3 linked regions of the Caenorhabditis elegans genome follow. The protein of the gene in region 1 purifies or fractionates together with the protein of each later gene. This does not show direct contact. Each region holds a gene or a part of one and is shown in the gene's direction. Other genes may lie near its edges. The genes, in order: asah-1, Y62H9A.3 and Y102A11A.3.

What was found.
Region 2: the proteins of asah-1 (region 1) and Y62H9A.3 fractionate together in Caenorhabditis elegans (co-fractionation; one large-scale study listed by BioGRID). This does not show direct contact.
Region 3: the proteins of asah-1 (region 1) and Y102A11A.3 fractionate together in Caenorhabditis elegans (co-fractionation; one large-scale study listed by BioGRID). This does not show direct contact.

The regions. Positions count from the first base shown.
Region 1 is NC_003279.8:12,501,293-12,508,069, forward strand, and holds asah-1 (Acid ceramidase subunit beta), read left to right. Parts: upstream 1-3,821; 5' UTR 3,822-3,832; coding exon 3,833-3,975; intron 3,976-4,806; coding exon 4,807-5,441; intron 5,442-5,604; coding exon 5,605-5,798; intron 5,799-6,009; coding exon 6,010-6,219; 3' UTR 6,220-6,277; downstream 6,278-6,777. Other genes in the region: K11D2.1 (RCC1 domain-containing protein 1), read left to right, coding at 2,698-3,161, 3,218-3,398, 3,444-3,623.
Region 2 is NC_003284.9:11,877,638-11,882,790, reverse strand, and holds Y62H9A.3 (putative secreted effector protein), read left to right. Parts: upstream 1-2,819; 5' UTR 2,820-2,846; coding exon 2,847-2,906; intron 2,907-2,953; coding exon 2,954-3,203; intron 3,204-3,248; coding exon 3,249-3,303; intron 3,304-3,348; coding exon 3,349-3,628; 3' UTR 3,629-3,681; downstream 3,682-5,153. Other genes in the region: stha-3 (Conserved secreted protein), read left to right, coding at 68-170, 221-275, 319-598; Y62H9A.4 (DUF4362 domain-containing protein), read right to left, coding at 1,619-1,712, 1,766-1,957, 2,297-2,649; Y62H9A.2 (uncharacterized protein), read left to right, coding at 4,595-4,883, 4,965-5,153.
Region 3 is NC_003284.9:2,016,232-2,026,380, forward strand, and holds Y102A11A.3 (Protein unc-13 homolog A), read left to right. Parts: upstream 1-2,916; 5' UTR 2,917-2,939; coding exon 2,940-2,969; intron 2,970-3,024; coding exon 3,025-3,172; intron 3,173-3,217; coding exon 3,218-3,445; intron 3,446-3,493; coding exon 3,494-3,577; intron 3,578-3,739; coding exon 3,740-4,516; intron 4,517-4,785; coding exon 4,786-4,860; intron 4,861-4,903; coding exon 4,904-7,139; intron 7,140-7,430; coding exon 7,431-7,823; intron 7,824-7,870; coding exon 7,871-8,146; intron 8,147-8,192; coding exon 8,193-8,257; intron 8,258-8,302; coding exon 8,303-8,508; intron 8,509-8,865; coding exon 8,866-8,939; intron 8,940-8,985; coding exon 8,986-9,064; 3' UTR 9,065-9,145; downstream 9,146-10,149. Other genes in the region: Y102A11A.9 (Lebercilin domain-containing protein), read left to right, coding at 1-150, 949-1,047, 1,400-1,577.

The DNA.
Region 1 (6,777 bases):
GATTATGATAACAGTCACTAGAAGCCAGACTACAACCTCTAGACGTTCACGGCCTCCATTCCAATCACAAATCCTTGCTGATCTGTGAACGCGTGTGATAGTCCATCTATCGTTGACAAGAGACCAGCTGTCCGCGACGAATTCGGGGAAAGAGATATTTTCGAATCCAACCGAATTGAAGAAGAAAAGAGATTTTCAAAGAACTGGCGCGGAAGATGGAGGATGGTATCAGAAGATCGCCGGGTTCGCATTGCAACTGATTTATGGTATAAGCCACGTGACTTTTCACAAAACTGCAGAAAGCCATTTTCTCCCCATGGAGTGGTCATATTTATACTCACTAAACAGGGAATTGATTTGCATAATCTACATTACGATAAATACAAAAACAACTGATCGGAATAAAAGACCAACACGTCATTGCAATCGGTCTAGAAGCTTATCACGTGGATTAAGTAACCTATTTTGATAACTATCTCTCATTTGAAGTTACAAAGTGCAGATTTTATGATCCAGTTTGAGAAAGGCCGGAAAAAAGAAAGAAAGTTCAGTCTTCAAAATAAAATTTCAAAAAGTGAACGTTATTTTGCCAGAATTAAAGCCGATTTGGTTGAATATATGGCAAACTTGACCCTAACTTTTGCGAGACTTGGGAAAGACTGTGTTTAGGTCGCGCCCAAGCTAGTAAGCCGGAACCAATCTTTAACTGAAGCTTGTATAAGAAATTGGCAAAAATAGGACTAAACTTGGACCAAACTTGCGCGCTGCCTAAACAAAGCCAAACCAAGGTTCGGGCCATGATTTGTCAAATTATAGATCAAACAAGTTTTTTAGACCAAACTTGGTTCAGAAGTTACCGCCAAAGACCAAGAAACTTAAAATAGTCCCAAAACAGCTAGCAGAACAAAACCAAGCCTTTTTGGTACTTTCAGGCCAATTTGGACTTTAATACAAGATAATTGTCTGAAAACGCACAAAAAGCTAGCTATATCAAGTAGAAATGCAGCCGAACATCCACTGAACTATTTGACCCGATGACTTTTATAGACGTTTCCTTCTCTTCCGATGTTTGTTCTCTTATTGCTTGACGTCGCCTGAATTCATTCTTCAACAGAAAACTATTTCCTTACACAACAGCTGTCGTCAGCTGATATGTTCCGCGGAGACACAGCTTCTCATGGGAAAAGCGGAAGGAAACAAAAATGTAGGACAGGAAGTTGGAGGAATTCGAAGAATGTTGCTGGAAATGGCTTTTGCAATTTTATTTTTTGAGAATTCTAAAAATGATAGATTCATCAAAAACACTTGCTGCCCGGACGACGTTCACAGTTGTTTTTCAAAATAACTGTGAAAAAGAAAGTTCAAGGGTCGTTTTCCTCCAATACATGTGGATTTATTGTGTCCTCCTACAAACTTTTCGTAATTGTTTGCACTACATCATGATTCGATTGGAAATTGATAACGTCATTGTTGAGACAATTTGTGAATCAGCTGAATCAGACGAATTCATGCTTCGGGGACGTCACCAGACCACAATGACGTTTCCTAGAAAAACCTGAATCATCTTGGAAATTCTCAAGCTACAATTCATCTAATTCCAAAAGTCCGACTCAATTACCAATTATCCCCAATAATCTTTACTCTGCGTGTGCTGCACTTTCTGCATTTTTCACCTAGAAGGACTTGTTCCACACATTGTTGTCAACATCCGGTCATATGTCTTCTTAAAGGTTCGGGGGAGAAGGAGTACTGTACTTTTCAATGAATAACAATTGGACACTTTAACGAAAAGAGAGAATAATAATCGAGTGAGGTGACGAAATGATGAAGAGGAAGAAGCCACAATGATGACGTCATCGGTCTATGATGTTTCACTTTCAAAGGTGGGGGGCTATTGTTTCCGCGAGGAGTGTAATGAAGGGAGTTCAGCGAAGGAAGTGCCACGTGTATCGCTGAAAAACTTCTACCTGATCCCTAGTAGTTTGTGATGTTTCACCTAGATCTGAGTTTTTTGGTCATAAAATTTTTGGGGCCTACCTTTCATTTTTCGACAATTTAGTCTAAACACATGCTCCTAACAATAAAATGGTGTACGGGTTCTTATAAAAACAAGAATTATTGAAGGTTGGCCACCAACGGCCCTGTAAAGGTCCTGATCCAGATCTGGTGACAGGTGATTCGCGTTTGGTCTGCCACAAGCAATATTAGTGGAACTGGCAAGTAACTCAAAAAACTAAGACTACAGGCACGTAGCCACGCTGTATTCCAAACTACAGGCGTTTCACAGCAGGTCCGAGCTTGGTGCCAGAGTGTCCCATGCCTATTTGATCTACAATAAATGCGGGACGCTCTTAACAATACGAAATTTGTTGAGAGGTCCGCATCGAAATTCCCGCATTTATTGTAGATCACACAGTAATGGGCACTCTGACACAAGGTGGAAACATACAGCGCATTTTTTTTCAGTTTCTACGACTTTAAAGGGGGCGCATTTACGCGCGATGGTTCGACACGCGCCACCCATTGATTTTTGGGGTGCGTGGCGAGATCAATGCCGGGACCATCGCGCGTAAATGCGCCCCTTTTAAAGTCGTAGAAATGGAAAAAAACGCACTGTAGTTAATGAAGAAAGTACTGTAGAAGTGTCTATCATTGTTTTTTGCAAAAAATTTAAAATTGCTAAATTGATTATTCCAGATTCCCACCTGGTTTGGCTCGATCTCTGTGGATTCCTGCAAGATCACACTGATCTTCGATGCCCCGATGACGTCATTAGCATCTGAAACCATCCAGCTACCCGATGAAGTTAAACACGTGGCGTGTACCCATCTCCACATGGCGATTCTCATGAAGCACGAAAAGTTGGCTGTGAGAAGACTTGACGACTTTGAGGGAAACCTGACATTCCTGGACCTGCATACTGATTTAGATGTTTTGCTGGTAGCTACATCCCGTGAGATATACGCTGTCGAAAGATCTGGAACAAGTTCGGAAATTGTGAAGATCCTGGTTGATTCTGTCGGAATTTCACCGAAAAAGAACAATTTAGCAAATAAGATCCAATTTCCATGGCCTGTGAGAATTGTGGAAGCTGCTGCTGGTCACGACTTTCTGATCTTCCGGGATACAACCGGCAACCTCTTCTCTATGGGTACCGGAACGTGAGTTTTCACAGGCCTAGACTGGAAAATATTTACATAAATTTCCAAATTTCCAGTCGCGGGGAGCTTGGAGTTGGTCTGATCCGCCGAGTCGACGAGCCCGTCCATATCGAGCAACTCGTGGGAATTCGCATTAAAAAGGTGGCTTGTGGCGGTTGGCATACGGTAGCACTGACAGAAGGCGGTGATGCATACACATGGGGATGGAATCGGTATGGACAACTCGGAAAAGATAAGGTAAACTTTTTGCTGAAAGTTCAAAGATGAATCGTGACTCCTTAGGGCTCCACTGAAGTCTACCCGGTACTCATCGACCCAGAGGAAGAGAAATTCGGCGAGGAGAACATTTTGGACGTTGCATGCACAGAGCATAATACGCAGATTGTCATCAAAACAGGCCACGCCCCCTTTGTGCTGGGCACGAACCCCACTCCACCGATCAACGAATTTCACCTAGACTAGACTATAACTTTTAATGAATTCTTCTCTGAAAACGCTTGTAAATTATGCTCCATAAACCAAAAACCGGTGTGATTGATGACATTTTCATGAGGGAAATAAATTAAAAAGTGATAAGGAGTAAAGTGTGGCCACGTGTTTTCCGCAAAAAGTATTGATAAGTCGCCTCGCGGAGCACACGCTTTGCCACTATTCAGAGCTAGTCAAGAAAGATGCTCCGAGAATTGTCGGTTTTGTTGCTGGTGGCTGTGTGCGCCGCAAAGCATGTGGAGCTTCCGGCTCCGTTTAAGGATCACTGCATCTTGGATGATAAGCAGAATCTCTATGATCCAAGCAAGCAATTTGATATCAAGTGGTGAGTTTTTGGCTGGATGGTAGCTACCTTAACTATCTATAGTTTGCCCCATTTGTTGAACTTTTTGCGCATAAAACTTCCAAAATGTCAGATTTTCATAGTTTGAAGCCAGTGGTGTTCCTTGGTCATTTTTTTAGGTGCCAAATTCTAAATACACTGCTGTTCTAAAGAAATTCTCGATTTCATTGCCTAAGCTTTTTTAGAATTCGCCTAAGAACTAATAGATATTCTGAGAACTTTGTTGGCAGTCTGAATTTCTGAGTTTCGCCGATATTGTGCTTCTGATACTCAAAAGAGCATTTTTCAGGCATTCTACGTTATGAAAATGTGCTTAATCCGAGCTTTACTGATTATTGCATGGTTCGAACACTTTTAGAGCTTCAAACATTCTAGTTTAGGACCTATCTTACTTTTTTGAAACTTTTAAACTACAAGAAGACGCCAAAATGTCGGTAATTTAACTTTTCCGGCACAGATATTACCTATACTTTGTGAAAAATATATTTTATAGGAAGTTTTTTAAACTCATTTTAGACTCAGAGTCCCTTTTTTTTAACTTTTGACTTCTCGGCTTCCAAAAAAAAAAATTTTTTGCGAAATTTTCAAGAAACTAGCAAATCGTTTAAAAATGTAGATTCCTGTGTTCTACAATCAGTTGATAATTTAGTGTAGTTACCCCCTGACACAATCAATCATAAATAAAACATCAATCTTCTCCTCGAGGAATTCCATAAACCTTATCAGTTTTTGTGCAGAGGTCACACCATACTTTGATTGCTGATTGAAGCGAAATTCCAAATACACACTTCCACAAACAAAAAATATTTTCAGGTACGATGTGAACCTTGATCTCCCACCATCGGAGCGTTGGGTGCAGATCGCTACAGCCAACAAGGAACACATCGCCGACCTGATCGGTGTGCTGATCAATCTGATCACTCCATGGTTCCCAAATGCCATCGACTTTGTTGATGACGTGTTCGGTGATTTGGCGCCAAAGCTCGCTCAGCCATATCGTGACGAGATCTTCAGTATTGCCAATGCCACCGGTATCCCATTGGGACAGATCACCATGTATAACATCTTCTACGAGATCTTCACCGTTTGCACATCGGTCATCGCTCAGGACAAGGACGGCCACGTTTTCCACGCCAGAAACCTCGATTTCGGACTCTTCATGGGATGGGACCCAGTTCTTCACGACTGGCAAATCTCGCAAAAGCTTCGTAAGATGATCATCAACGTCAACTGGCTCAAGGACGGAAAGCTGTTGTACAAGTCGAACAACTTTGCCGGATACATTGGAATCTACAACGGTCTCAAGCCAAACGCCTTCTCCTTGACTGCTGACGATCGATTCCAGCTTGTCGGAGGATACTACGGTATTCTCAAGTGGGTGTTCGGATTGGAGGCCGACGGAAAATGGATGTCCTGGTTGGCAAGAGAGACCCTCGAGACTAAGACCAGTGAGTTGAATTGTTTTCTTGATGACTTAGATCCTTAGAATTCGGAAGCTTTGATTTCCAGGAAGCTTAGGCTTAGATTCAAGTGTCCCTAATCTTTGCTTCTAATATCCATTGGGCTAGATCCGTCTGAGATCCATAAAGGCTCTATATCCCGAGCTTTCAGCCTACCTCGACGCCAAGGAGCACTTGATGAACACTCCAATGCTCTCACCAGTCTACTTCATTCTCGGAGGATCCAAGAAGGACGAGGGATGCATCATCGCTAGAAGTCTCGACAAGACCGCACTTCTCACCGAGATGGCCACATCCCCACACGGATGGTACCTGTTGGAGACCAACTACGATCAGGGAACCGAGGTGAGAGATGCTAGAGTTGAAGGTGTAGAGTAGGTTCTGGTAGACGGATCTAGGGGCCCAACTTTTAGGAGAGGTCCTTCTCTAGGCCTAGGTCTAGTATTTTGAACCCAGCTTCTTTTTTTGAGTGGGTCGAACTCCTAGCTAGAAATTTTGATCAAAAATCTGTCAAAACCTATCCGGAATTAACTTATCCAACATTTCCCTCTTCCAGGACCTCTACCTTGACGACCGTGACACTCCGGGATTCCGTTGCATGGACAAGTTGACCCAGAAGAACGTCGGATTCGAGGGAATCTTCAACGTCTTGTCATCCCGCACCAACCTGAATAAGCTCACCACCTACACCGTCCTCATGTCCGTCGAGACTTCTCGCTTCGAGACCATCCTTCAATCCTGCCCGGGAGAATGCTATCCATGGTAGATTGGATTCAACATTCTCATATACGCAATGATTCATTGAAATAAACTTTCATTTTTGTAAATAAACTTTGATGGGTTCTTGTTTGAAAACGAAATTTTCATAAAATTTAAAAATTTTAGAGTTTTTTGGTTTTTTTTAAACAAAAATTAAAAATTTTAATTTTCCCGCTGGAAAAAAATAATGAGTTACGGTAGATTTAAAGGCGCATGCACCGAAACTTATCGAGGTTACCAAAGTTATTGCTTTTTGTGGAATTTTACATTTAAAAAATAATTGTTTGCTAATTTTATGGTTTTTCGTCGTTTTTTCGTTTCTAACCAAGTTTTCCTCCTGAAATTCAAATTTCGTCACAATTTTATTAAAAATGGGATACGGTAGATTTAAAGGCGCATGCCTAAATATTTCTTCTGAGTCTCGTAGCGATTGGTGGTTTTGTGGAATTTTCTACTAGAAAAATGAATTTAAACTGATTTTCCAGTATTTTTACACAAATTTTTTTTATTTCAATTCAATTTTCAAATTATTCAATTCAATTTTCTGGCGGAAATTGCCAGTTTT
Region 2 (5,153 bases), on another chromosome or scaffold:
GTGAGCTAGCCTCAAGTAAAGTTTCAGAATGCATTCAGCAATGTAGAGCTGTATTATAAGTTTTCAGGCCGCCTCTGACCCATCATACCCTGCTCCAGGCCCATCTTACGGTGGTGGTGGTTACCCAATCTACTCTGATGAGGATAGTGATTCTCGGGAACACAGAAGAGGTTGGTTGAAATGTGTGCGCTAGTTGCATTTTATAAGTATCTTTTTAAAGATTTCCGTAAGCTGAAAGACTTGCACAAAACCAATGTCGTTGATGCCAGAATCAGGTAGATCACTAAACATATGCAGTTCATTAAATAACTATTGCAGATACTACAAGCATAGAGGAGATTATTATGCAGAAATTAGCTGCCCACGACAATCAGACAACAAGAAATACACATGGATCCTTGCCGACTCTGATGAAAAAATTCCATCATTTGGTATTGATGGAACTGTTGCTCTTGCCGCCGGACTCAATGTGAGATATGTTGCTAAATACTCTCGCCACGGAAAATGGTCCGGCCGCGATATGACAAACAGTGACAAGCAAAAGTTCCGTCGTGTTGGATGTCATCATGGTACTTTTGAAACATCATTGACTGTTTAATTGAGTTTTTATACTATTTTATCATTAAAAATAAATGAATTCTTCAACGAGAGCCTGTGTAGAATGAATGTGAGATAATTTCACCGAAAAGAGTTTGATTGAAAAATCAACACCAAAGACAGCTAAGTTAAGCAAAATAAACAATTCAACATATTTGTCTTTTCCAGCTTTTTTTGTATTGTTAGGAAAATGTGTTCGAGTAGTGGGCGGCAAAGAAAATTTTAAATGACCGAAACTGAAAATTCCCAGAAAATTGACAAATTGACGATAAAACCGCAACTGCCATACATTTTAGGCAGTTTGTTGATTCATAATTTTTTATTATAAGTTTCTAAATTTCTCATTTAAACTAAAAACTTAAGCGCGTCCTACAAATTTTTCTATAAACTAGGGCTCCCATGCGGTCGCCGCGACGGCCTCACGGCGTCACCCACGCCGCATTTATAGTGAGGCGCGGACCTCCGAACGTGTCGACCGCTTGCAAACAACCACCTCTTCGCACTATGTTGCACACACACCAAGCTACTCATTTCACGCAATTTGTTGGCTTTTTGATATTTGCCAACAAATCTTTTATATGTAGTACAACGGTACCTCAATTATGAGAGGAGTCCAGTCAACAGAAATATCATAACTTGGTTCCATGGAAAAACTGCGGAAAACTAACATTTGCAAATTTGATGAGTTCACTTCCTCGTGAAAAAAACAATAGGACTTTTAGAGTGCATTCAGTAAATTGTTCTAAAGGAGCGGATGAAAAAAAAAACTGTCTTACATTCAATAAAGTACAAGTAAAACCCTTTTTAATCTAACGAATGCGAAAAGAATTATCGCACTACTTTTCTTCCATATTTGGATGATCATAGAATGAATTTCATTGTCTCATTGAAATTTAGTTAAAGTATTTTCTTTACATAATTATCCAAATTTGAACTTTTTTTTTGTTTCACATTCTGTAACAAATTTGACTTTAAACTTTATCAACCAAAAACTCGTAAAACATTTAAATAAACAGAATCATTAAAATCCTGTCAATGGTCTTGGTCCGGGAAGTTCAACGCATGTGACTTTTCGGATTGCTACTTCTCTGTCGTTGAATGATTTTCCAACAAAACTGAAATTTAGACTTTGAATATAAAAACAACAAGTTGACTTAATACGGCTCACTTTTTGTCGTCGCATTTCGCAACGTAGTCGAAATTATATCCCGATGCAAGGAGAATAGTGTCTTGAATGACGAATTCTGTCTCAAACTTGAAAGATGCGTCTGTTCCTTCCTTTTTTGCTACAAGGGCATATGGTTTTCCACTGTTTGGACAGGCGATAATGTTGTAGGTCTTCCCCTTACGCTCTACTGTTCTGTAAAAAAACAACTTTTTGAACCATTGGAAAATAATTTATAGTCAAAATGAAACAGAACAAAATTAGCCCGTGATATAATTAATTATACAAACTTTGCGAAAACTTTAGTTTTGCTCTCACATCACGAAACAATTGAACGAAAAAGTAAATGCAATATGTATATTTTTTCTATAACGAGTATTGAGAACGAAATATGTGAATGTTTCTATTTTGTCGGGTTTTATGTTTAAAACGTCTTATTTTCTCTAAAACTTTTTCCAACGTTGATCAGTTAGTTTCATTTTGCAAAAATATTCGAAAAAAAGCTAACTTATGGTATTTTTTGTGATAACTCACTTGATGTCAGCACGAGCGGTTCTGTGCTTATGAACAGAAAAGTGTTTGATTTCCTTGCATTGTTCATACTCATTTTGTTCATATACATTGTTTGGTGGTCTATACTCGTTTCCATTGGTACCGTAGTTCGTTGCAGGTGGTTGTGGCGCATATACACCTGGATATTCTGGGTAACGCTCATCTGAGTTCGATCTTGATTTTAATTCATTCTCAGAAGAATCCGATGAGTCAGAAGTAGAGTATCGATTGTTTGAATGATGTCCAGGATAGTGAGAAATTGTACCATAATCATTGTATTGGTTCGCAGATACGACGACCGCACATGCGATCACAGATAAAAAGAGAGCATACATAGTGAACAATTTCGCTGAATTGTGCGTCACCTCTACTTGATTTTATAGACGATTTTGTTGAATCGTCGACAAAGTTTAATCTGGAATATGGATCACATCACATCATACGTTTTCTAAACATATGATTCATGCGAAATCTAGACCAAATATAAAACGGTCCTCAACAGAGGAGAGCCATACATCGGTGCTCTGCCAAGATGAAATATTTTGTTTCGCTTGTATTACTTGCTGCTGTGGCTTCTGCAGAATACCAGATTGTGACATACTATTGCAATTTAAAGTATATTTATATTAATGATTACAGAACGAGAAGTCCTACTCAGGTGAAGTTGAAGTTGAAGACTACCCAAGACCAACAAAGAAACCAACGTACTCGGTGCCGGATCTAGGACCACTTCCACCAGCATCATACCCAGTTCCAAATTTCCCTAATAGTTGGCCGCTTCCGCCAGCTTCACGACTAGTTCCAATTCCACAAGAATATCCAGCTCCGTTCCCCCCAGGACCATATCCTGACTCAGAAAATGGGGGATCGTATCCACCACGCAACTATGGTGAGTTCTCAACTGTATTCTCATTTTAAAAGTTTAAACAATCAGAAGTCAAAAAATTGAAAGATCTTCGTGGTGAAAAAATTGTTGAAGCCCGTGTTAGGTGAGCAAATCCAAGTTGCAAGAAGAATTATACATTCAAATTTAGATACTACACATATGATAACACCCATTACGCCGTCATTTCATGCCCCAGAAATCCAACTCCAGGAGCATACACATGGATTTTGGTGGACTCGAAGAAAGAAATTCTACCATTTAATGTTCCTGGAACAGTAGCGTTGACAGGAGGTATCAACGTTGACTACTTAGCCAAATATGGAACTAAAGGCAAATGGGAAGGAAAAGATTTGACCAATGATAAGAAACACAGGTTCCGTCGAGTTGGATGCCTTCACGGAAATACTATGTCGTACATTCAACATTAAACTTTATCAGTTTAAACAATACATTATGAAGAAAAATAAATGTTAATTTGAGCTTTCAAAGAAAACCAATTAGTTTTGAACACAAACGGAAAAGTTAATGAAACGCTAATCGTTTCTCAAATACCCGGCGTTTAATTTTTGAAACTACTTAAAAGTACATTCCTAAGCCAAACAATAAAAGCGCATCTGTTTATACTTATAATGGAGTTGCTTTTCAAAAACAGACAGACTCTTTTCACTAAGATTCTTTTAACTTCAAGGCGCTTATTGATATTATGATCAACTAAAGGAATCAAATAATTTCATCAATTCCGTTCCGTCAGAAAACAAATAAGAAAGTTTCAGGAAATTCACCCAGATTTTTCAATAATATACGGTATTCTCCATGTGTCAATTTTATATTACATTTACAGAAAAATGGAACAATCTCCTAAAAACAATCATTTTTCACATTAAATATAGGGAGCCGGGAGGACAGAGCTATAAATTCTCAAGATGGAAATATTCATTTTCTATATACTATTTTCCACCGTTTCCCCACTCAATTTTCAATTTCTGTTGATATAATCTCCCAGTAAAAAAAACGAAAATTTTCATTTTTGAATTTCTAGCTTCATGAATAATTTATTTCAACAATCTCATTTTCAACAATGGGCTTCATTTTCTGTTTTCAATTATTAGTTGTCATAATGTTTATTTGTTTGCAAATTTGCTTTCAGTTAAACCAACCCTTCCGATTATGAAAGTGTCCCGTTGTAACTAATCTCATCCTTCAAAATAGATGTCTTTCCGGTAGTATCGGTTTTCTACTAACATAAGTTCATAAAAAATACAATTTATTTTGTTTCCTGGGTGTGAGTAATCCCCCGCTGGCTTCAGTAGATGTTGGCAACGGTTTTTCAACAAAACTACCTAGTTGATCAATTGATTGAAAACAAGGAACCGTAAGAATATTTTCAGGCGATCATGAATAATCTTCCTGCACTCCTTGAAAACTCATCAGTCCCTCGGCTTACTCAGGGCCAACAAAAGAGTGATAATAAACCTTCACTGATGGAAGATACACGAATGAGTGTCTCAAAAATAGTTAATAAGAATTCTGATTTCAAAAACAATTTTTCGTACGATAAGAGGGAAGCCAAAAAATGGACAGCGTTGCGAGCAGAGTGTGAATTGACTATTGAGAGAGTAAAGTCTCTTGATCATATTTTATGCAGAGGAAGTTCCAAAACGGACCTTGTTTATGCTCTAAAACGTGAGTTTATAAATGAAGAATATATTTCTGACTGATATTAAAATTGTCAAATCTATTTTGAAACTAATTCGCATTTTTTAGAATCTGCTCAAATCTACACTCGCCGTGAAGAAATGTTTGAAATTGTTGATTCTTCACCACCCAGTATCGACAAACGTCGGACTCTTGCTCTGTTATGTGAAATTCGAAATTTGGATGAAGATAGCATTATAGGAAAAACAATGTCAGCTCTTGATATGGCAAACGGTGGTTATCACAAAACGAAAATCC
Region 3 (10,149 bases), on another chromosome or scaffold:
TGTCGAAAAAACCGTCCAAATCAGCACTGTTCTCGATTCACTGCAGAAAGAACGTGAAGATTTGTCAGAGATCAGAAAGAAAAACGAGCAGAAAATTGAAGGACTATCGCAAGAGTTGATTGAGGCTTACGGAGAAATTGATGCGTTGAAGTAAGTGAGAACGAGAAATGTTTAAAGTAAGAGTGTCGGTTTTGGGAATTTTGAACGTATAGGCCCAAAATGTGCTCAAGCCAACAAATTTTGTGATGAAACTTCTCAAAGTTTTTGTTAACATTTATTTTAATAGTGGTTCGAAAAATCGAAAATTGGTCTCACATCATTATTGAATATGTAACCAATTTTGGTAATTTTTGGCACCGGCTCACGTGGTGTCAGGCTGTCTCATTGCTCCACCGCACACAAAATGGTGGTAAAATATTTTTAATTTTTGTGACGACACAGCGAATTTCAAGTCGATTTTTGGGAAACTTTCCATTTTTTCCAACTAATTTTTGTGTTAATTTGTGAAGTGGTTATTTTAAAAAAATCGAAAAGTTTAGCAATCAGTCATGGATTTCACGTTTAAAATTATTCGAGATGCACTGTGACGTCACAAAAATTCGAATATATTTTCCAGCTCTTTTGTGTGCGGTGGAGCGATAGGACAGACTGTCACCATTCGCTGCCTTCAAATGTTCATTAACTAACGAAATAACGTGAGATAAACGACGGAAATATGTATGCGAAAATGGATGAGAACTCAAAAAAAAATCTTTGATTCGCTGCGATACAAAAAAACTGAAAGATAAAAAAGATTTGATATTTTTTCAAAACTTTGAAGCGCCTGAAAAAACTTTAACCAATTGTTTTAATTTTAAGTTTTAATTTGAAATTCGTTCATTTGAGCACATGTTGAGTGTATACGTTCAAAATATTCCAGAACTACTCCTCCATTACCAAAATTTTCAGAATGAACAATGAGAAACTGCAAGAACATTTGGGTGATTTGGAGCAACGTGTTGGACATTTAAAAATTCAGCCGGACTATGAGAGCCTTCCACCATTAAAGTGAACATTTTGATATTGTTTGTTTTTGTTCAAAGGTGAAGTAGAGTCGTTTTGAAATTTTGCTTTAAATCAGAGAAAATAGACCATAATTTTTTATTTTATTTTGGCGGAAACCGGCAGAATTAAATTTGAATTCCCGCGTATTTTTGAGTTTTTTTTTTCTTTTTTTTCTTTCGCATTTTTTCGTTAAGAAGACTAAAAAGACAAAAACCCATAAAATATCGTTTAGAAGAATTAAACAATTAAAAAAATATTTAACAGTTACATTAGGTTATTAGTGTTTATTTTCTGTCATTTAAAGCAAAATTCCAAAACGACTCTACTGCACTTTTAATGACACACGTCGTTTCAGTATACCTCGACTCGACATGACCGATATTGACAATGACGAGAACGGCACGTTGCACGAGTTTTCTGAAAGAAGTGTTTTATCGAATCTTTCTGAATTCGATCATGTACACCTTGCTGGTGCATTAGCAGAAATTGCTGGTGCTCATTGTGAGCGATTGCGTATGATCACTCAATCATAACAGACTACTTTTATTACTTCCCACTCTTTCCTGTCAATCTATCTATTAGTATACAACCTGTCTGATTTTTTTCCCCTGATGTGATAATTTTGAACACTGGTCAGCCCTTTTTCTATTTTCTTCCAATTAATTTGATTCTGCTGTGCAATCCCAATTGAGTGTGAAAATCTTTGTGTTGAAAACTGTACAATTTAGTTTATACTACATATTCGAAAATTAAATCCTTCTGAAACTTCTAAATAAATTTTTTTAAAATTTTTTAAATAAAGTTTTTTATTGTTTTAACATGTTACCTGGCAAAATTTAACCTCTATAAGTGGAGTGTCGCCACCACTGGGGAAACTGTTCAAAACTGCTTCTATTGTGCTGAAATTATCAAAGTCCACCGTAACAACTTTTCAAAAAAATTGTGCACTATTTCCTTACATATTAAATTGCGAAGAAAACTACAAAAAAAGTGACGACCCGGAACTTATTCCTCCCTAATATTTTTTACGATTCCTGCCAAGTGAGCGCATTTTTGGCATTACACGGTGTTTTACATTTTGTTCTCCATCTGTCAATCTACTCGATGCTCCTTTTTTCACAGTTCTGATGAAATGTATACATTCCAAACCACTTTTATCATCAAGTCATACATCACTGGAAAAAGGCATAGAGCAGCAGTTGTAACTGCTGATAATGCAAGTTTTTCATTGGTATCGGCGAGCATTACATTTCGTTTTTTTTCTGTTTCTTGAGCACTCGACTGCAAATTAACATTATTTGCTTTGTTTTTGTGGAATACTAATTTAATATGATTCGATTGTAGTAGCTGTACTTCAATTTTATTTTGTAGTTTATCAAAAATAAAACGTGAATTTTTTATTTTAGGCTTAAAAGAGGAGTATCGGTTTTAGATATAATAAACGAATAAGCCCAAAATGGGTTCAAATGAACAAATTTCGAATAAAATTAAACTTCTTTAAAACATTTCAAAATTATTTATGGCGGTCCAACATTTCGAAAACAATTGGTTAATTTTAGGTCACATCATTTCGTTATTTATAAATGTTTATAAATGTTTTGTTTATAAATTATTTATAAATGCAAAAAGAATAATAGTTCAATTTTTTGCGAAGTTTTATCACGAAATTTGTTAATTTGAGCACATACTCATCCTTGTAGAAAAACTTTTTATAAACTTAATAATAAAATAGGAATAGTTATTCACATTATGGAATTTCATTTATTGCGAACATTTTGAGATACTTATTAAACTATATCTATAGACCAAATCAAATTCTATCGAATTTAAAAATACAAAAAAAATCAGATCACATTTATTCTAATTTTCCAGATGATAACTTGAATGTTGAGCACATGAATTCTGACTGTGACCAACACATCAAGGTATATTTATATTTTTTCTAATACTTTAAATTTATACAATGTATACACATTTCAGAGTAGAGTTAGATATCATCAATCCGAATTTTGTACGAAACTAAACTATGTGTATACTTCTCGCCAGTGTGACGAATATTTCAACTATTTGGCTGAATTGAGAAGAATTATTTTTGGTGACAAACAATATTCGGAAAAAATGAAACCAAGTAAGTTGGAAAATAAAACCAGAAATGTAATGAAAATTGTTTCAGAAAACAATTGTGACCCAATTAGACACTCAATTCATTATCGCACACGGGACGGCAAAACTCTGGTTTATGAGTTGGGAAATACGTCAGACTACGGCATTAATCTTTTTGCAATACCGTCTGAAACAAAAACGGTTGCAACAAAAACGTATTATGCAGAAGAACACGTACTCACTCAGCCGGAGACTTGTCGAGTGTTACCTCTCACTCACTGCTTTCATCTTGTAAAACGTTCGTCAATTCAATTTTTTGAGCATTTTTTAAAATAATTGTTTCTAGAGCCATCGGACAACGTGAGCCCATCAAAATTACGCAATAAGATGTGTGATGCTCATCTGGGAAGCTCAAAAACATTTTCCACAAGTGAGTTAAAATATACATTGCTGGTGATAAAGATATGCACAAAAGCTCTTGCAAGAATGTGCTGTGAAGTTGCATGCCTTTATGACCAGCACTAATTGTAAAACAATTTTGTAAACCAAAATAAAAACATTCAAAAAACAACTAAATACTCAAATTTTCTAGATCAAGAATGTCTACAGTTGTCTCAACCTCCAGATGATCAAAACAACTTCCACATTATCGACCAACATTTGTGTTTTGCCTGTGTCGACGACTTTTCAGAAGAGCATGTTGGATTTGAAGACGCTGAAAGTCTGAGTGACGTGGTAGATGAAGATTTTGCAGTAATGGAAGAATTCGCGAGCGTTTTGGAGGAGACGGGATCGGTTTTTGAAGAGTTGGGTGATGATGATTCAATTGAAGACAATTGTTCCATATCCGATGATAAAGTGAACAGGATTGTGGGAATTGTGAAGAGACAAATTGAATTTTCAAAAGACAGACACAGTAGATCTGAAGAAAGAAATGTTTGTCATCTCCAGGATCAAACAATTTCTGAACAACCACATTTTCATTCAGCTGTGCTTGAAAAATCAGATGAAAACATTTCCTGGGTGCAGCTGCCCACATTTCAACTTCCATCACTATTTTCAAAACAGCCTATTCTCCCACCAAATGTGAAAATGGAATCGGAAAAACAAGAAGACGAGGCTAATTTTGATTATTCTTTACAATCAGTACCAGAACCGTCCAGTGCTTATCTTCCTCATGAAACTGATCAAAATCAAAGTAGTACTTCTTTCCCGCAACAAGAATCTGACAATGAAGATTCTGAGACAAGTTCTCCTGACACACCTGAAAACGGCAGTGTACTTGTGAATATGATTCAAGATTACGTTCAAATGGTAATGTCCGTGTCTCGAGAATTTCAACAGTCACACAGAGAAGAAGCCTCACAAGGTAATAAATGTCTTGCACGTGGTGTCAGATTGCCTCTTTTCGGCCTGATCTATGTAGATCTACAAAAAAATGCGGGAGAACAGACGCAGATTGCTCAACTGACGTCACATTTTTCGGGCAAAAAATACTCCCGCAATTTTTTGTAGATCAGCCCGTAATGGAAGACTCTGACACCACATGGTCTGGCTTATAACCATTTTTTATAATATGAGCGGTGCAATAAGTCCTGGGTCAAAATTCATAAATGTTTGGTAATTTGTTTTTTAAAGCGAAAACTTCCGAGCTCGTCAGTCTGGATCTACAGTTGCTGACATATGCTTCGAAAGCTGACCAGATAGAAGAAGGTTTGAAAAACAATTTTTTGAAATAAAATAATATAAGTTCTAGATCCTCGACTGATGCTGAGAAGATTGGCTCCACGAAAAACGTCAGTTGATAAATGGAAAAGTTCTACTTTGTTGAATGAAACTGTTAAACCCTCGGCTACTGAAAAAGAGAAAGTTTTTGAAAAATTGTCAGCAAATGGTGAAGACTACAGTAGAGAGAAAGCCGCCGATCAAGAGTCTACTGGAAATCATTTTTTTCGTACATTAACGTCTGAGCTTGAAATCAACCAACCGGGAATACCAAAAACTCCAGATGTTAGTTGTTTCTTTTCAGAAGACAGTGTTTGTTCTGAGTATGCTCCAAATCTCCAAGAAGAAAATCTTCCACCGGTTTTACTCAATTCGAATACGCAACCAGAAACCGATTTTGAATTTCAAGTAGACACATCAACTTCTGAAATTTTATCAGACCAATCAAATATGAACATCACATTTGAACCGATCGAAGACATCGCTGAAGATCGGCCAAAATTGAATGGAGAGGAAATTGTTCAAGTTCAGATCATGGAAAGCACTTCTAGATCCACTGCACCTTCAAACATTAATCTTTCTGAAAACTCTGACGTCACACCGTTTACTAGCAACTGGAAGGAAATAACATGTGATGTTGATTGTGAGGATACGTCACAGAAAGAGCATTGTGCACATTCAAACGCTATCACTCCCGAAACAGTTTTTGATATTTCACCAGAATTGGGAAAGAGCAAACAACATTGCATCGATAAACAAGCTGAATATAGCGGAAAACTTGTTCACTTGAAAAACCATATTGAAGTTGCTTCTGTTTTGGAGAGCATCCTGGTCGAAGTATCCAACAATACTGATTCTAATGCAACATTGAACTCTGCAACTTCTCAAGAAATCTTCGACGTGGTTGAACTTCTGCAAGTACCAATTGAGATTACTGTAGATGTGTTGCCGGAAATAGAAGACCAAAGCGATACTGAAACGTTCACACCTGAAGAAGCCACACCATCCGTATCTGTATTCGATGAAGTTCAGTGTTCCCTTTCTATCAGTATGGATACTACTCTAAAGACGGTCAATTCAAAGGTTTTAATCAACACGGAATTTTTACAAGAGAACTCGTTAACCATCAATGTCATTGATAGTTGTTATCACGAAAACATCCAAAACCATGTGCTCAGCTCAATAAATAACAATTTGGAAATTGTTGAAATTTCAAACAACATTTTGAGCAAAGCATCAAGTTACTCAGAACTCGTTGTTGATGATATTGTTATCACTGTTGTCCCAGATATGCTTTGTCATGTTACCTTTCAGGCTCTTCCACCAATTATCTCTAGGAAAGTCGATGAAAATCGAATTGGAGACGAAAATGTTCTTCTGAATAATTTAAATAATGTTACAATGAGAAGTGGGAGAAGCCAAACTCAACACTCAAAAATTTTTATCAATAAGGACGTCCACCATTTTTTGCAAGATCAAATCAACTTTCTGGAACGACAAGAACAAACAAATGATGCAGAGGACAGTATATCGGTTACATCCAGCTTTTCCACTTCAAATACGAACGATAACGATTTGCAATCTTGTGTTCCGCTGAGTATAGAAGAAACCTGGGACATTGAAGTTGGGCTGAACCACTTTTTGAATTGGCTACACGGTTTGTCCGAAAACTCAAGTGATGCTGGGCCGACTGAAGATTTTCCACAAAACACAATCAGTCTTGACTTTAACATAGAACATGAATTAATAGCATCAGAATTGCCGGAAAGAAAAGAGGCCACTGGAGATTCTGAGGGTGACAACAAGAAAGCGACAAAAACGTTTGAAAATAGTAAATCTTTAGCAAAGTGTGGTATGTCCAATTCAATGGATGTTCTCGAACCACGAAGTTTCAAGGAAAAAATTCAAGACCGGCGCTCTCAAACGTGTGAGCATTCTTCCGAAAATCAAGGTCTAGAAGAAGTCAAGTTAGAAAGATCAGAGCAAGATCCCAATTCAATGGCGTGCCTGCTAGAAATCAGCACAGCAGATAATTTCGAAAATGCGGAAAATCAGTTAGAATATGATCAACAATTGGTAGTTTTCAATCTGGACAACATACAAGAAGCCTGCGGACAAACGAACAACATAGGCAGCACTGAAACGAGTTCAAAATCAACTGAGCAATCCGAGGACATTGACAAACTCGATCATCATTTCGAGGATGCATGTGAGAGAAAGTATTGCGAAACTGATACAATGCTCAAGGAAAATCCAGACAGTACGAGGTACGCGGTATAATTATTGGGGAAAAAACTATGCTACAATATATTGTAAATTTAATCATGCGAAAAAAACCACAAAGCGGTTTTTACTAAGTTGCCGTGAAATGAGAAAACTCAGCCACCCTCATAACTCACGGTAGAATCAAAGGACACCCTTTCCAAGACTATTCTCGTTAAGTTTCAAAAATATGTACCGTAAAAAATCATAGATAAATAATTGCCCGAGTTTTTGATTTTTCTAGGCTACGGGGTATTTCCAGTATTTCCATATTCCTCAAAAAAAGATATTTTCAGAAAAATGGCAAAAAATCTCAATGAAAACGAAAGTGGTATAAACATTATAAAAGATTCCAACTCGGAATACAAAAGTGAAATTGCTGAAATGGATCTATTCTATGCCAACTTCGAAGTTCCGTTGCCTGATTCAAGTTGCATCAAAATTTCGGAAATGCAAAATAATCTCGCCTCATTGGTTGATCATCTTTTGTCTGATCAAATTCAAGCTGCTGTCCAAGAAGCTTCCAAGCTGATCTGTCACAGAATGATACCCCTCGCCAGAAATCAGTCTTGTAAAATCATTGAGGATACATTTTATACCGAGTATATTGCTGATAAAACAGCATCAGCAGTCACGGAAAAAGAAAACGTCGAAGATTGTACCGATACTTCATTTTGCGATCAATCAAGGTAGTTTTTGATATAACTGTGGTATGATTAAGATATGAAAAATTAAGGAATGTTGAGAGATGTTGCACTACGCTAGATACCGACAAAGCTGTGGTTAAACAATTTTTGAATAGAATGATGCATGATCTAGTCTCCGATGCAGTTCTCGAAGCGTGTCTGGTACCCGCACATTTTCCCGATTCAATTGAAACAGCAGTATGTGAGCATTTCGATTCTTTCCCAGATATCCCAAAGTTATTCTTGTCGCCAAAACTGGAGGATTTGAGCCAATCAACTTCACACAAACCAATATCTGAACTTCAGTCCAGTTCCTCAGAAAACAGGTAATTTTACTTTGATCTTGAAAATCTGAATAAAATTTTTTTTCAGAGTTTCTTTGAATGAAGTTTTCGAAGAAAAGATGTGTGACGTGTTAAGAGAAAATACACATTTGGGTAGCTTGTAGCGTTTTAAAAGGTTTCCTATTATACTTCTTTCAGAAACTAATGCAGATCGCGAGCCGTTTAGAAATAATTTATCAAGATCCAATTTGGAAACTTGTCAAAACATTATTGATTTGACACCCGAATCCAGCGATTCTAGCATTTGTGCAGAAGTATTCGTTCCGACAAACTCAACACCACCTTCGGAGACTTCCCCTACCGACATTAGTTTGAACTCTTCGGAACAGCAGAACACTTCTTCGGTACGTAAGTTCCAAAGCCATGAGACAGTAGGGGCCAAAATTCTATTCGTTTTTGGTTTTAAGGTTTTTTCTTCTTTTGTTCAAATTCTATAAGAGCTGAAATTTGAGGCTTATGTTCAATTTTTGTACAACTTTTCCCGGTCACCGTGTAAACTGTATGTAGATTACCAGTTAAGTGATTCGGACGTAATCACAAATATATGTAGTCCAAGTAATTAGCACCATTTTGTTAGCAAACGTATTTTGCGAACTATTATAGTAGTTACACATATTTTAACAGCTCAAGCAAAACCGATAGCGAAGAGATTATTCGATGGTCGGCAATGTACTATGTATATTAATTTAATGATTTTATAGGTATTAGAAGAAGTCTCATATTTCTTCACAACCGCGTGTGTTGCTGCACTTGCATTCATGTCCCCGGCAGAAAAGTATAGTCTTTTTTTCAAATATTTTTTATTAATTTAATAATTTCAGCGATTCATTATTAAATTCGGAAATCATTGAAAATGCATCAAAATATATATCCAACTCTCCGGAAGCAAATGAAAAATGAGACAATTAAAAACCCTAGATATTCATTGATTTTTTGATAAATAAAATTTCCCATTCTATTTTTGGAATAAACATTTAAACTTCTCACTTTTGTTTGATTTTTCAGTGGTGTATTTTCCAAGCGTCTGTAAATGTGAATCACCTATTTTATTATCAATTTACCACCCACATCTCAATGAAGTGTTTAAACAGTGCCTAAACTGTCTTCCCAAGTTTCGAACCTTATCAATTTTCTCTTTCTGAGTCTCGCAAATTTTCATTTCACCCAGTACTTTAAGGCGATCGCTTACATTTTGTGTGGCACCGATCTGTTATCAGTTTTTATGTGTGCCTGTGTGCGTGTGTGTTGTGCATGAAGAGTCGTTTATGACTTTTCTAACCAACTTGATTTAGTCTTCAATCGCTCTTCTCACTATTTTTACAGGAATACTGTTTATTTATGTATAAGGAATAATTTTAATTTTATTATCATTTTTATTAGAAATAATTTTAAATAAACTCTCATCTCAACTTTCGTAATTTCCATCTCGAATTTTTTTCGTGAATTTTTCCACTACTTTAGAGGCCTGTACGGTTTTATTGAAATAGTGTTTTTGCAAACTTTCAATGTTTTTCAAAATATTTAAGGGTAGGTAAACATTTTAGGAAAGTTTTCGAAAATTTCTTTGCTCCATACTGGCGAGAAATCATCCAAAAACGGTATTTATGGGTTTCGTTCCCCTCAAAATGCTTCAATTTTCTTAATTTCAATTAACCACAAAAACGTGAATTTTTTGGAACGATTTATAGAAATGAATGTTTTGTTCCGACACTTTTGTTCACGTTTTTAATTTGAAAAGTCGAAAATTGAATTTCAGAAACGACAAAAACCACAAAAACGTGAACTTTTTGGAACAATTTGGAGAAATGAATGGTTTTATTTGTTAAAATGAATGCTTTGTTTTCTACTTTTGTTCACGTGTTTTAATTTGAAAGGGGGTTATTGAAATTTGGAAAATTAAAACATTTGGGGGGGGGGGGAACGAAACCCATAAGTACCCCAAAGAGTTTTCATAATTTTTACCTGCCCTTGAAAAGTTTCAGCAT